Sus scrofa: one gene and its partners. Each later gene encodes a partner of the first gene's protein in a complex. Links are inferred from orthologs where the notes say so. Each region holds a gene or a part of one and is shown in the gene's direction. Other genes may lie near its edges.

The links. Proteins that work in one complex are often made in the same cells at the same time.
Region 2: MAP3K20 (region 1) and MAPK14 share a complex: the UniProt entries of both Homo sapiens proteins name them as parts of the signaling complex. The link is inferred for Sus scrofa from reciprocal best matches to the Homo sapiens genes MAP3K20 and MAPK14.
Region 3: MAP3K20 (region 1) and PKN1 share a complex: the UniProt entries of both Homo sapiens proteins name them as parts of the signaling complex. The link is inferred for Sus scrofa from reciprocal best matches to the Homo sapiens genes MAP3K20 and PKN1.
Region 4: MAP3K20 (region 1) and MAP2K3 share a complex: the UniProt entries of both Homo sapiens proteins name them as parts of the signaling complex. The link is inferred for Sus scrofa from reciprocal best matches to the Homo sapiens genes MAP3K20 and MAP2K3.

Annotation. Positions count from the first base shown.
Region 1 is NC_010457.5:79,366,513-79,370,012, forward strand, and holds part of MAP3K20 (mitogen-activated protein kinase kinase kinase MLT), read left to right. Parts: intron 1-1,624; coding exon 1,625-1,699; intron 1,700-2,569; coding exon 2,570-2,720; intron 2,721-3,500. UniProt on the Homo sapiens protein: Stress-activated component of a protein kinase signal transduction cascade that promotes programmed cell death in response to various stress, such as ribosomal stress, osmotic shock and ionizing radiation.
Region 2 is NC_010449.5:31,857,398-31,859,720, forward strand, and holds part of MAPK14 (mitogen-activated protein kinase 14), read left to right. Parts: intron 1-792; coding exon 793-966; intron 967-1,164; exon of another isoform or gene 1,165-1,246; intron 1,247-1,788; coding exon 1,789-1,856; 3' UTR 1,857-2,323. UniProt on the Homo sapiens protein: Serine/threonine kinase which acts as an essential component of the MAP kinase signal transduction pathway.
Region 3 is NC_010444.4:64,814,684-64,818,183, reverse strand, and holds part of PKN1 (serine/threonine-protein kinase N1), read left to right. Parts: coding exon 1-73; intron 74-1,271; coding exon 1,272-1,407; intron 1,408-3,500. UniProt on the Homo sapiens protein: PKC-related serine/threonine-protein kinase involved in various processes such as regulation of the intermediate filaments of the actin cytoskeleton, cell migration, tumor cell invasion and transcription regulation.
Region 4 is NC_010454.4:61,406,369-61,409,868, forward strand, and holds part of MAP2K3 (dual specificity mitogen-activated protein kinase kinase 3), read left to right. Parts: coding exon of another isoform or gene 1-39; 5' UTR 40-601; coding exon 602-1,066; coding exon of another isoform or gene 1,067-1,138; coding exon 1,139-1,258; intron 1,259-2,549; coding exon 2,550-2,666; intron 2,667-3,481; coding exon 3,482-3,500. UniProt on the Homo sapiens protein: Dual specificity kinase. Is activated by cytokines and environmental stress in vivo. Catalyzes the concomitant phosphorylation of a threonine and a tyrosine residue in the MAP kinase p38.

The DNA of each region.
Region 1 (3,500 bases):
AGAACAACAACCACCACCAAGGAAGATTGATTCTTCTTGCAGGAGAGACTGGCAGTTGACTCCACACCCAGACTTTGGTCACAAACTTTGTCACAAGCTATCCTGCTTCCCATGTTTTCCTCTAAGGGACCATTCATTTTCCTAAAAATCATTCACTCTCCCCTCAGAGGCTTATATACTGCTCTTTCCCTTTGTCCATTAAGATGGCATTTAATCCTGAATTCTTTGAATTAACTCATTTTTCCCTGCGTATCTCCAGGGTATACATGAGGTATACACATTAATAAACTTCTCCTTGTTTTACTCTTGTTGTTTTTTTTTAATCCCCAGTTAAATCTCTACTTTGTTTACTTTGTACCTATCTCATCTCACGGTCAATCAGTCATTTGCAGCCTTTAAACCGGAATGAAGGATTAAGAGGGTGGGAAGAGAGTGGAGATTCCCTTTTTTTTTTTTTTTTTTTTTGGCCGAGTCTGCAGCATGCAAAATTTCTGGCTGCACCACAGCAGTGACCCAAGCCACAGCGGTAACAACACCAGGGAACTCTGGAGATTCATTTCTAATAAAGACCATATTCATCAAACTTAAAATAGAGTCCATTGGAGTTCCTGTTGTGGCACAGCGGAAACAAATCCAAATAGTATCCATGGGAGTGTGGGTTCAATCCCTGACCTCACTCAGTGGGTTAAGGATCCAGCATTGCCGTGAACTGTGGTGTAGGCCAGCAGCTGCAGCTTCAAATAGACTCCTAGCCTGGGAACTTCCATATGCCGGGAGTTTAGCCCTTAAAAAAAAAAAAGACCAAAATAAATAAATAGAGTCCAAGGCATAGGCTTCTTCATTTTTTCTTTATTTTAATACAGTGAGGAAATGTCTCCCCTGTTTTATTTGTCCTCACAGTGTGGCCAGATAGCCTGATATAGCTAGAAAGCAGAGAGGTTATGAAGCTGCTAAACCAGCCACAACTGGCACTCAAAACAGGCACTCTGGGGTCCTTATATTGTTAAGGCTTTCTCTGAATTGTGAGTAAACTCTCTGCTGAGGCTTCCAAATTTTAGCGTAAAGGGGAGTTCCCGTCCTGGCACAGCGGAAATGAATCTGATTAGGAACCATGAGGTTGCAGGTTCAATCCCTGGCCTTGCTCATTGGGATCTGGTGTAGCCGTGAGCTCTGGTGAGATCTCAGATGCAGCTCAGATCTGGCATTGCCATGGCTTCGGCATAGGCCGGCAGCTGTAGCTCCGATTCGACCCCTAGCCTGGGAACTTCCATATGCCGCAGGTACGGCCCTAAAAAGCAAAAAGAAACAAACAAACGAACAAAAACAAATATTAGCATGAATGAATGACCTAAAGATAAGATTGAGTGATATATCGGAAAAGAGGAGATCATAGGACACCAAGACTAGCTGTTCACAAACATAGGAAAGGATGTCTTTTGAAAACCAAAAGACATGTGTGAATGAACATGACTTTCCTAACAATCCAACATCATGGCTTTCATGATAACCTGACATCATGCCCTATCTGCCAATTGTGTGTGGCCCAGCCAGCCTCAACGAAACCATCGATCTTGCAAAGCAGGCTGTATTATGCCACTACCTACACCTAACTTTTGTTTTTCAGCCCCCGTTTGTGATGGAGAAGTGGATTATAGGAATACTGGAAAATCAGACTGTAGAATGCACTGTCACATACGAGGTAAGCTTGAGGGTGGAGGGTTGATGGGTTTCACTATCAGTTTCATAGCAGGGATTTATCTGCTCCCTCAGAGTGCTTAAAATGTATTGGAAGGGAAACTATTTAACCAGCATGAATATGGGAAGATCAATGTAATTATTCTAGCAAAGTGTTGAGAAGGAATGAGAACAAAATACACTTACTTAGAGATAGAGGAAGTCATTCTTGCATTCATCAGTTAATGATTGAGCACCTTCTGCATACCACGTATGCACGTATGAGGTACCAGGTATATAGAACAATGACCAAAAACAGAGCTTTGCTTTCTTGGTGCTTAGAGTTTAAGGGTGAGGGTAGCCAGCCTAATCCTACTCACCCAGTTACCTGGATGGTCACAGGCAAAATGTGGTCAGATTTTTTTTTTTAATATAATGATTTTTATTTTTTTCGTTATAGCTGGATTACAGTGTTCTGTCAGTTTTCTACTGTACAGCATGGTGACCCCGTGACACAGACATGTATAGATTCTTTCTTCTCACATTATCATTTATTCAACAACATATCTTTTTTTTTTTTAACTACTATAAGCAAATGACCTTGTTTTTCATTACTTATTAAATGAAGAGGTAAGTTGAGATTTGCCAACAAATAAATTCTTAGGAAAGACAACCGCCTTTTTAACTACATAGTCCACTAAGGAATAAAGTGGTCAAAATTTTTCTTTTAATCAAATTACCACATTGAGACAAACTGTGCAAAAATTTTACCTACCGCATTATGCTAATGTTCTAAGGAGTTACAGTAAAGGTATCTGATAACCTGATTTTCATTCCTTTCTATTTTATAAACCTGAGTATTTGATTGTGGGTGTCTTACTCCCTTTTTTAACAGAGCGACGTTAGAACTCCAAAAAGCACTAAACACGTCCATTCAATTAAGTGGAGTAAAACGAAACCTCAGGATGAAGTGAAAGCCGTCCAGCTTGCCATTCAGACGTCATTCTCCAACTCAGAGGGCAACCCCAGAAGCAGGTCTGACTCAAGTAAGTTAGCTGCACACGAGACAGATTCCAAACGGAAATGTCAGACTCACACCAGGGATAAGTGCCCCTCCATGAAGTGAACAAGATTTCTAATGTAATACTTCCTTCTGATTTTATTTATTTATTTATTTTTATCTTTAAATTTTTTATTACAGTTGATTTACACTGTTCTGTCAATTTCTGCTGTAAAGTAACCCAGTCGTGCATCTATACACACCCTTTCTCATATTATCTTTCATCGTGTTCCATCACAAGTGATTGGATATAGTTTCCTGTGCTGTATAGCAGGACCTCATTGCCTATCCATTTTTAATGTAACAGTTTGCATCCTTTAACCCCAAACTCTGCGTCCATCCCAGAGCATATGGAGGCAGCATATGGAGGTTCCCAAGCTAGGAGTCTAATCGGAGCTGTAGCCTTCAGCCTACACCAGAGCCACAGCAACTCAGGATCCAAGCTGGGTCTGTGACCTACACTACAGCTCACGGCAATGCCAGATCCTTAACCCACTGATCAAGGTCAGGGATAGAACCCACAACCTCATGGTTCCTAGTTGGATTCATTAACAACTGAGCCACGACGGAAACTCCAACATGCAGTATATTTTTGAATGAAAGTTTTGTCTGGATATATGCCCAGAAGTAGGATTGCTGCATCATAGGGTAGTTACTATATTTAGTTTTCTGAGGAAACTCCATACTGTTTTCTATGGTGGTTGTACCAATTTACATTCCCACCAACAGTGCAGCGGGATTCCCTTTTCTCCACACCCTCTCCAGC
Region 2 (2,323 bases), on another chromosome or scaffold:
CCTGGCCCAGGAACTCCTCATGCTGCTGGGCAGCCAAAAAAGAAAAGAAAGAAAAAATACAACATCCATCCATGCACGTGCACACATATATTTAAAAGAGGAAAGGGGGAGTTCTTGTCATGGCTCCGTGGTTAACGAATCCAACTAGGAACCATGAGGTTACGGGTTCAATCCCTGACCTTGCTCAGTGTGTTAAGGATCGGGCATTGCGATGAGCTGTGGTATAAGTCACAGATGCGGCTCAGATCCCGAGTTGCCATGGCTCTGGCGTAGGCCAGTGGCTACAGCTCCGATTCGACCCCTAGCCTGGGAATCTCTATGTGCTGTGGGTGCAGCCCTAGAAAAGACAAAAAAGACAAAAACAAACAAACATAAAAGAGGAAAGGGGAGTTCTCGTTGTGGCTCAGTGATAATGGACCCAACTAGTATCCACGAGGTTCAAGGTTCCATCCCTGGCCTTGCTCAGTGGGTTAAGGATCCAGTGTTGCCATGAGCTGTGGTGTAGGTTGTAGACCCAGCTCAGATCCCTCGTTGCTGTGGCTGTGGCCTAGGCTGGCAGCTACAGTTCCCATTCAACTCCTAGCCTGGGAACTTCCATGTGTTGCAGGTGTGTCCCTAAAAAGACCAAAAAAAAAAAAAAAAAATAAAAGAGGAAAGGAGTAACATCCCAGAATTGAAGGAGAATTCTTTGTTTTGGTGTAAAAGGTCAAAACTGTGTTTTGCTTAATAAAGCATACATTTTTGGCAGTGTGTTAAAAACTCTTTTTTCCTTCCAATCTGCATCACTGATAGCTGTTGACTTGCTGGAGAAGATGCTTGTTTTGGACTCAGATAAGAGAATTACAGCAGCCCAAGCCCTTGCGCATGCCTACTTTGCTCAGTACCATGATCCTGATGATGAACCAGTGGCTGATCCTTACGATCAGTCTTTTGAAAGCAGGGACCTCCTTATAGATGAATGGAAAAGTAAGTCTGAGCATGATGAACACGTAGCTTTAAAAATCTTTGCCAGGTGAACCACAAACCAAAAGCTGTCAGTGGGGGAGGGCAGGGGGGTGGGGGGTGGAGGTGCGGACTCCTGGTTAAATCCAACTTGTTAAACCTTGTCGTTAGGTCTCTAATGCAGAATGAGTATGTTCCTCTGATGGAAACTGTCTGTTGTAGATGATGACACTCTGGACCTTTGAGATGCTTCTGTCTGGTCTGATTTTGTGCACAGCCCCTCACGTCTGCATAGAACTTTGAGGTTCTCAGAATTTTTGCATTTATACCATCTTTCCCAGCTAAGTAGGGGATAGGGTGCATTTACAGTTTTATAATTGATAGAACTTGGGTGAAGAAAGTTAACATCTTAACTGTTACCTTAGACCTAATTAGGGACACAGCCAGAAATAGAACCCAGGTCTCCTGTGCTCAGTTTCATAGTCTCTCCATAAAACACACATTCAGAAAACTCCAGTGAAATTTCAAAAGCCAGGACTATCTGTTGCTACAGCAAATGGGATTACTACGTTATTCTCAAGCATCTTCAGAGAGTTTTAAAGAGGAGGCACTGGATGATTAAAGAAGCAATAAAGGATGCTTCTCTTGTATGTATCCTTGAACTTCTGTGGAATCACATGTTCCATCAGGATATCACACACAAACGGTGAGGCAGTTATTTGAAGTGGCCCATGGAACCACTAGTCTGGACAGGGAGGAAGGATCTTGAGCTTAGAAGTTAGGGTGCTTGCCAACAAAATGAATAGTCCGAACTTTCACGTCCTCCTTTTCCTTCCTGATTTCTAGGCCTGACCTACGATGAAGTCATCAGCTTTGTGCCGCCACCCCTCGACCAAGAAGAGATGGAGTCTTGAGAATCCGGTTTCTGTTCTGCTGATCCCACTTCACTGTGAGGGGAAGGCCTTTTCATGGGAACTCTCCGAATATCATTCAAGTGCCTCTTGTTGCAAAGATTTCCTCCGTGGTGGAAGGGGGGGTGTGTGCGTGCCCATGTGTGTGTGTGTGTCTGTCTGTCTGACTTTGTGGGAGGGTAAGAGATTATGAGCAAACTATGATCACAGTGACTTTACGTGGAGCGACCCCTGCTCCGTGGCAGTCTCTGCTTGTTCTTTGTGAAAGTCAGCTGGGCAGCAGGAGCTGCCATCTTGTTAGGGCTTCTTAAAAGCAAAGTAAAAAATGTTAAACATCCCAGCCCCCAGTCATGCTTTTGCCATTTTGGCCTCTCCTGCGGCCACCCTTGTTGGTAGGGGTTTGGCTTGACCACACCCCGCAGAGGCACAGAAGAAGGCTCGCACCGTCTGTTCGCTTCACATCTGAAGCC
Region 3 (3,500 bases), on another chromosome or scaffold:
GCTGGCCATCGAGCTGAAGGTGAAGCAGGGGGCGGAAAACATGATCCAGACGTACAGCAACGGCAGCACCAAGGTGGGGGCAGCACGAGTGAACACACCCCTGTGTGCACATACGCCTGGAGCACATCACACAGTGAGGGGGTTTGGGGGGGTACCTACATGTCCCCCATGGGAGGTTTGGGCCCTCTGGGTTGGGAACAGAGGGACTGATGAATGACTGAGTGGCAGAACTGGGGTGCAGGCAGCTCATGGTGGTATGTGGGAAACAGAGTGACTGGGTGATGTCAGACAGACACACAGCAGTTAGCCCTGGAGACCCAGCAGCCTCTGTGGACAGGGCAACATGCAGCCTCTCACTGCTACTGGCATCTCTCTGACATGTGCACGTGCAGGTCAACACCTGGAGTCACACACACCATTATAACATCTAGAGACACAGCAGTAACAACACTTGGACACATGGAGGATGACTACCACAGGGCTCTCTGGACACGTAGAGACATACCATCATAATAACCCCAGGACACACAGTACAGGCCAACAGACGTCTAGACACACAGACACGCACACCATTAAATTCACACCCAGAGAGCAGAGTTGTCACACAGTCATTCCCCCCAGCTATACCAACACCAAGAACACAGTCACAGGTCTGCACCCACACCCAGAGATACACCCACAAGCACAGCCAGACCTATAGCTAGAGACCCGGGAGAGCACCCATACCTGTGTGCACACACAAAGGTGAATATTACGTGGGAGGGCACAGACCATGCCAGATTTTTTTTTTTTTAAACCTTTTATTGAGGTGTAACAAAGGGATGTGTAGTATATTTTTTTTCTTTTTTGGCCACCCCAAGGCATATGGAGTTCCCTGGTCAGGGAACTTGGACCCACCTACGTGACTCCTGTCAGGGCTACACCCACCACGGGGAACACTGAGCCACACGTATGCCTTTCTGACAGCTGACACAAATACAGTGCCTGCTGGTGCCAGGCACAGCACTGAGCCCTACATACAGATTAGCTCCTTTAATCCTCAGCCGAGTGGTGGTTGCAATCCAATTAGCAATCCCAGTCCTGTAGATGACGAAACAGGCCCAGAGAGGTTGAGTGGCTTGCCCAAAGTCACACAGATAGCAGTCTTAGGTAGCAGAGCCAGGATTCAAATGCCATGGGTTACTCAGGGCCTGCACTGGTGTGGACAGAAGAGCTGCTGGTCAGTCTCCCATCTGGCCAGCCTTCCTCTCACGGCCCATCTCTGCCTCTAGGACCGGAAGCTGCTGCTGACGGCCCAACAGATGCTGCAGGACAGTAAGACCAAGATTGACATCATCCGCATGCAGCTCCGCCGGGCACTGCAGGCCTGCCAGCTGGAGAGCCAGGCGGCCCCGGATGAGGCCCAAGGTGAGTCCGTTGCCCTGATACAGCTTAGCCTGCATCCTATCTTGTAGAGTTCTGCTCCCAGTCACATAGGGGGTTCCTTTCTGGGGCAGGGAGGTGAGTGCTCTGACTCATCATGTGACTGGAACCCATTCTTGACCCTCTCTGGGCCTCAGTTTCTCATTTTGTCCCACTCAAAGTTTCCACTTGATCAAGTGTTAGCAAACCAAAGCTCTTGGGCCAGATCTGCTACTGCCTTTTTGTAAATAAAGTTTTATTGGCACCCAGCCACACCCATTCATTTACTGTCACCTAAGGCTGCTTTGGCATTGACAGCAGAGCCAAGTAGTGGCAACAAAGACTATGTGGTCTGCAAAGCCAAAAATATTTACCCTGTGACTCTTACGGAAAAGATGGGCAGACCGCTGGACTAGGTGGTTGCCTTGTCATGTTGGCCCCTGTGGTGTCCTCAGTGTGTGTGTTTCTGTGAGTGTTTCAGTGTATGAATCTCTCGGGGTGGGAGGGGTCTCAACCTGATTGTCAGCCTGAATTTGTGACGGAGTCTTGATGTATGCATGGGCTACTGATGTGTGTCAGTATTAATGTGATATTAGCCATGGGGACCAGGGGTTGTATGGATGCTCTGTAACTATGATAATTTGCCTGTCACCATGAGAAATAGAGAAGTGTCAACTGTTGGTGAGTGATAGTGCATTTGGGCTGCTATAATATACCACAGTACCACAGATAGGGGAGGGGGCTTTTAAACAACAGACATTTATTTCTCACAGTTCTGAGGGCTGGGAAGTCCAAGATCAAGGCGCTGGCAGATCCAGTGTCTGGTGAGAGCCCTCTCCCACATTCACAGACAGATGCCTTCTTACTGTGTCTTCACTTTGGAAAGGGCCGGGGAGCTCTCTGGGGCCCTTTTTATAAGGACACTGATCCCATTTATGCAGGCAAAGTCCCCATGACCTAGTCATCTCCCAAGGGCACCAAGGTCACCACCTCCAAAGACATCACACTGGAGGTTGGGTTTCAACATATGAAGTTTGCAGGGAAACATGCAGTCCATAGCAGTTGGACCTGTAACACGGATGACAATGTATGTGTCTTTGTAGTGCGGAGGTGTGTGTGGTTGTTTGTATGAACTCTGAATGCCTACGTGAATTTCTCAGTGTCAGTGTGCGATGGTATGATCATGTCCCTGTGCCTCTGGGTGACACTGTAACCTTTGGTGGCAGCTTGCTTTTGTCCCTGCAAGTATAAAAGTCTTGGTAACTGGGCACATGTGACAGCAGTCCTGGTGAGTGCCACACACCTGTGGGTGACTGTGACTCTCTGAGTGCCAGAGTCTGAGTCTGGGTCATTATGCAGGACAATGAGACTGTCCTTGGAATCTACAGCCGTGGATAAGGGTGACTTTGACCTCATGTCCCTAGGTGACAGGTTTCCCATACCTGTGTGACAGTGTCTATCCCTGTGCCATTGGATAACTGTGGCTGTGTCCCCAGGACTTTGCCCTGAATATGGTAGCCAGCCTGTTTCCCTGTGACTGGGTCTCTGTTTCTATGAGTATTGCTGATGCTACCTTGCCTGTGTGACAATGTGGCAGCATTTCTTTACCTGTCCCTATGCCTGATCCACATGGCAGTGTGGTTGTGTTCCTGTGATTCTCCTTGGGTTGAAATTAGAACCCTGGGAGTTTTGCCACCATGTGACTGTGTCCTATGAGGGTGTTTATGTTTTGTGACTGTTTTTCTCTGCCCTTGTGACCGTGTCCCTTTGCTTGAGGTTGACAAGGCACATATCTATGTAATATCAGCCTCAATCCTGTGACAGTGTCCCTGTGTAGCAGCGTGATAGCATCTTTGTGAGAGTGTGTGTTCATCTGCCTGTGGGTATGTGTAACAGTGCCTACACTGGTGAGAAAGTGATAATGCCAGTGTCACCCTGTGAGTGACAGCATAACAATGTCTGTGTGATGTTGTCCCTGTTCCCCTAATTGCATTATATTTCATGATGTGGGTAGTTACCATTCACTTATCCAGACCCCTACTGGAGGAAATGGGGTTGTTTCTAGTCTTTTGGTCTTGAAGGCTTTGAATAACCATGAA
Region 4 (3,500 bases), on another chromosome or scaffold:
AACCTGGACTCCCGGACCTTCATCACCATCGGAGACAGGGTGGGTGTGCCCAGCCCGCGGGGCCCTTGCTGCTCCCAGCTGACCCCTAGGGCCCCGGGAAGTGGCTGTGGGGGTGGACAGCACTCTCTCCCTGCTGTTGGCCGTGTGGCCCATCTGGAGCAGGGGGCGGAGGTGGCAAACCGGGGCTGCCATGGAGTCCCTGACCTCAGCGTGGGTGGTGTGGCCACCACGGTTCTGGCCCTTGGGGCCGGCGTCTGGGGTCGTGCATTTCAGTTGCACCCAAGAACCTCCTGAGGGCTTGGGGACCGTGTGTCGCCCCAGGACACGCCGAGGGTCTCTGGGCAGAGGCCTCACTCTGGAGCTTCTCCTCGACCAACACCCCCTCCCGCCTGGGTTCTGAGTCCCCCCACTTGTCGCTGTCAGTGTCCTGTTGGTTCACCTGCTCGCTGCCTTGCGCCTGCCTCTGGAAACAGGGCAAGAGACGGTGGGCGGCCCGGGCCACGCTGCTCCCTGGGAGGCGGGGCCTGTCTCTTGCCTCTTTTGTGTCCCCAGTGCCTCACCAGGGACTCGATGCAGTAGATGCTGAGTAAAAGCTGGCTGGATGCGTGGTCCGGTCTGGCTGCTGCAGCGGCGGGGGCCAGAGGGATGGGGCGGCTCGAGGGCCCCGCGCCTGCTGGGAGCATTTCCCGGGCAGCCCGCTTACCCTCCCAGCAGCCCTTGCTCGTTGGTGCTGTGCCTGTTCTGTGGAAGGCGAGGGGAGGCTCAGTGGGCGTGCAGGACTGGCCCCGGGGCACCCAGCAGGATGCGCTTGCTGCAGGATTGGAGCACAGATCAGCCGGGCTGGTGGCCTTCTCTTTCTGCTGCCCCAGCACCTCTGCTGGACGGTGTGTGGGGGGTGAGGGCTGGCACCTGTCTTGGCCCCCGTGGACCCTCTCTTTCTTCTGTCCCCAAGAACTTTGAGGTTGAGGCCGACGACCTGGTGACCATCTCGGAGCTGGGCCGGGGAGCCTACGGGGTGGTGGAGAAGGTGCGCCACGCCCAGAGCGGCACCATCATGGCCGTGAAGGTGAGCAGCCCCCGCCCCCCCTCCCCTGGGGGCCCCCCCGCCAGCCACCTGACGGCTGCCCTCGCCCCACAGCGCATCCGGGCCACCGTGAACTCGCAGGAGCAGAAGCGCCTGCTCATGGACTTGGACGTCAACATGCGCACAGTGGACTGTTTTTACACCGTCACCTTCTACGGGGCCCTGTTCAGAGAGGTGGGCTCTGCGGGGGCGGGGAAGGGCGGGGGGCGGGGCTGGGAAGGGCAGGTGTGTGAGGGGGGGCCTCTCTCCCGGCCCGATGGCGTGCAGGGCCGGCGGGGGCTGGGGACAGAGACCAGGAACCCACACTGGGCTCCTAGAGTCCAGGGGTGGAGGAAGGGCTCCCCTGCCTGGCCTTGCGCCCTTTGCTCCGGTGGGGTCCCCAGGCTTGCTGGGTGCCCTGGACCCAGGGGTGGGTCCCCGATTGGCTGAGCACCCGTGTCAGGCCCAGGTCCCATGCTGGGTTGGAGCTGGCGGGGGCCCAGGGCGGGCAGGTACCCCAGGCAGCCGGCGTCCTCCGAAGGCCGTCCCGAGGGCTGAGGCGTGGGGCAGTGCGTTGCAGGTGGAGGAGGGAGCCATCTGCCACGATGTCTCTGTGTCCCCAGTGCCTCAGCAGGGACTCGGTGCAGTAGATGCTGAATAAAGTCTGGCTGGATGCGAGGTCCAGTCTGGCCTCTGGGGTGAGCCCTGGGCGGGGGGCCCGGGGCTGAGGCAGGAAGGGTTGGCCAGGCGGGGTCGCAGAGCGGAGCTGGCACAGGAGGGTCCCAGAGCCCCTGCTGGAGGGACTCAGTCACGTGTGTGTTTTAGTCACTTTTCCCTGGAACCTGCCGTGTAATTAGGGAGGCAGGAGAGGCCAGATGGGGAGACCAGAGGTGATGGGGGGGGAAGGCTGCCCTGTAGACCCGGCAGTGGGAGGGGGCGGGGGCGGGGGGGGTTGGGGAGGCGGTGGGCCGGCCCGAGGGGTTTGGGAGGCAGCATAGGGGAGCTGGGAGGTCCGCGAACCCCAGTGTAGGGGAGCTGGGAGGTCCGCGAACCCCAGTGTAGGGGAGCTGGGAGGTCCGCGAACCCCAGTGTAGGGGAGCTGGGAGGTCCGCGAACCCCAGTGTAGGGGAGCTGGGAGGTCCGCGAACCCCAGTGTAGGGGAGCTGGGAGGTCCGCGAACCCCAGTGTAGGGGAGCTGGGAGGTCCGCGAACCCCAGTGTAGGGAGCTGGGAGGTCCGCGAACCCCAGTGTAGGGGAGCTGGGAGGTCCGCGAACCCCAGTGTAGGGGAGCTGGGAGGTCCGCGAACCCCAGTGTAGGGGAGCTGGGAGGTCCGCGAACCCCAGTGTAGGGGAGCTGGGAGGTCCGCGAACCCCAGTGTAGGGAGCTGGGAGGTCCGCGAACCCCTGAGGGCTGAGGGCCGCGGGTCTGTGGGGAGGCGCTGGCTCCGGGCGCGGGCGGGCGTGGCTGAGCCGGTGCCGCCTGCAGGGAGATGTGTGGATCTGCATGGAGCTCATGGACACGTCCCTGGACAAGTTTTACCGGAAGGTGCTGGAGAAAAACATGACGATTCCAGAGGACATTCTGGGGGAAATTGCTGTGTCTGTAAGTGGCTCAGGCCTGGAGGCGCTTGGGGGTTCTAGGGCCCAGAAGCCCAGGCCTGCTTCCGCAGCCACAGCCTGTCCTGATGTGGTGTCGTGGGCAGAGCTGGGCCCCTTCTGTGGCCCCCAGTTGTCCCCTGGCCAGGGTCTCTAGGCCTCTCTGGGCAGCTCGCAAGCCTCCGGGGTCCCAGACGAGGACTTAATGTTGACAACTTCTTGGTCCTAAAAACACTCAGAGGCGGCTCACGGGGCACAGGCTAGGCTGGGGGACATTTGGCGTCCATATGTTTGCCTTCTGAGCGTGCACGTCCCTAGAGCAGGGAGCAGTCCTGGGCCTGAGCAAGAAAGGGCATGGAGTCAGGGTACCAGTGGGTCTCGACCCTGACGGCACCTGCTGACATGTCCGGGTACCCCCGCCTGGGTGCTGAATCAGAATCTTTGGCCCAGTTCCTGTAGGGAACGGCTCCCAGTGTGCAGTCCACTGACTCTGCTGGGGGGCACGGGGGGAGGTGGCAGAGAGGCTGCAGAGCCTGATGGGGTAGGGGCAGCATTCTGGGCGTCACAGGTGTGGGCTCTGCAGGGGTCTTGGGCCACTCAGCAAAGCAGAAGGCTGGTGCCTCTGCACTGCGGTTACCAGGACGCCCGCCACAGCAGATGTGGGCGGGGTTGGGGGCGGGCGGGAGCTGGGGTGAGGAGGGCTGGGCTGGGTCCCTGGGGGTGGGTGACAGGGGCCGTGGGAGGGAGTTTCCCGCTCTGCCGTCACTGGCCAGCGGGAGTAACCGCCTCTCTCCTCCGCCTCCTTCCCGTTCTCAATGGCAGATCGTGAGGGCCCTGGAGC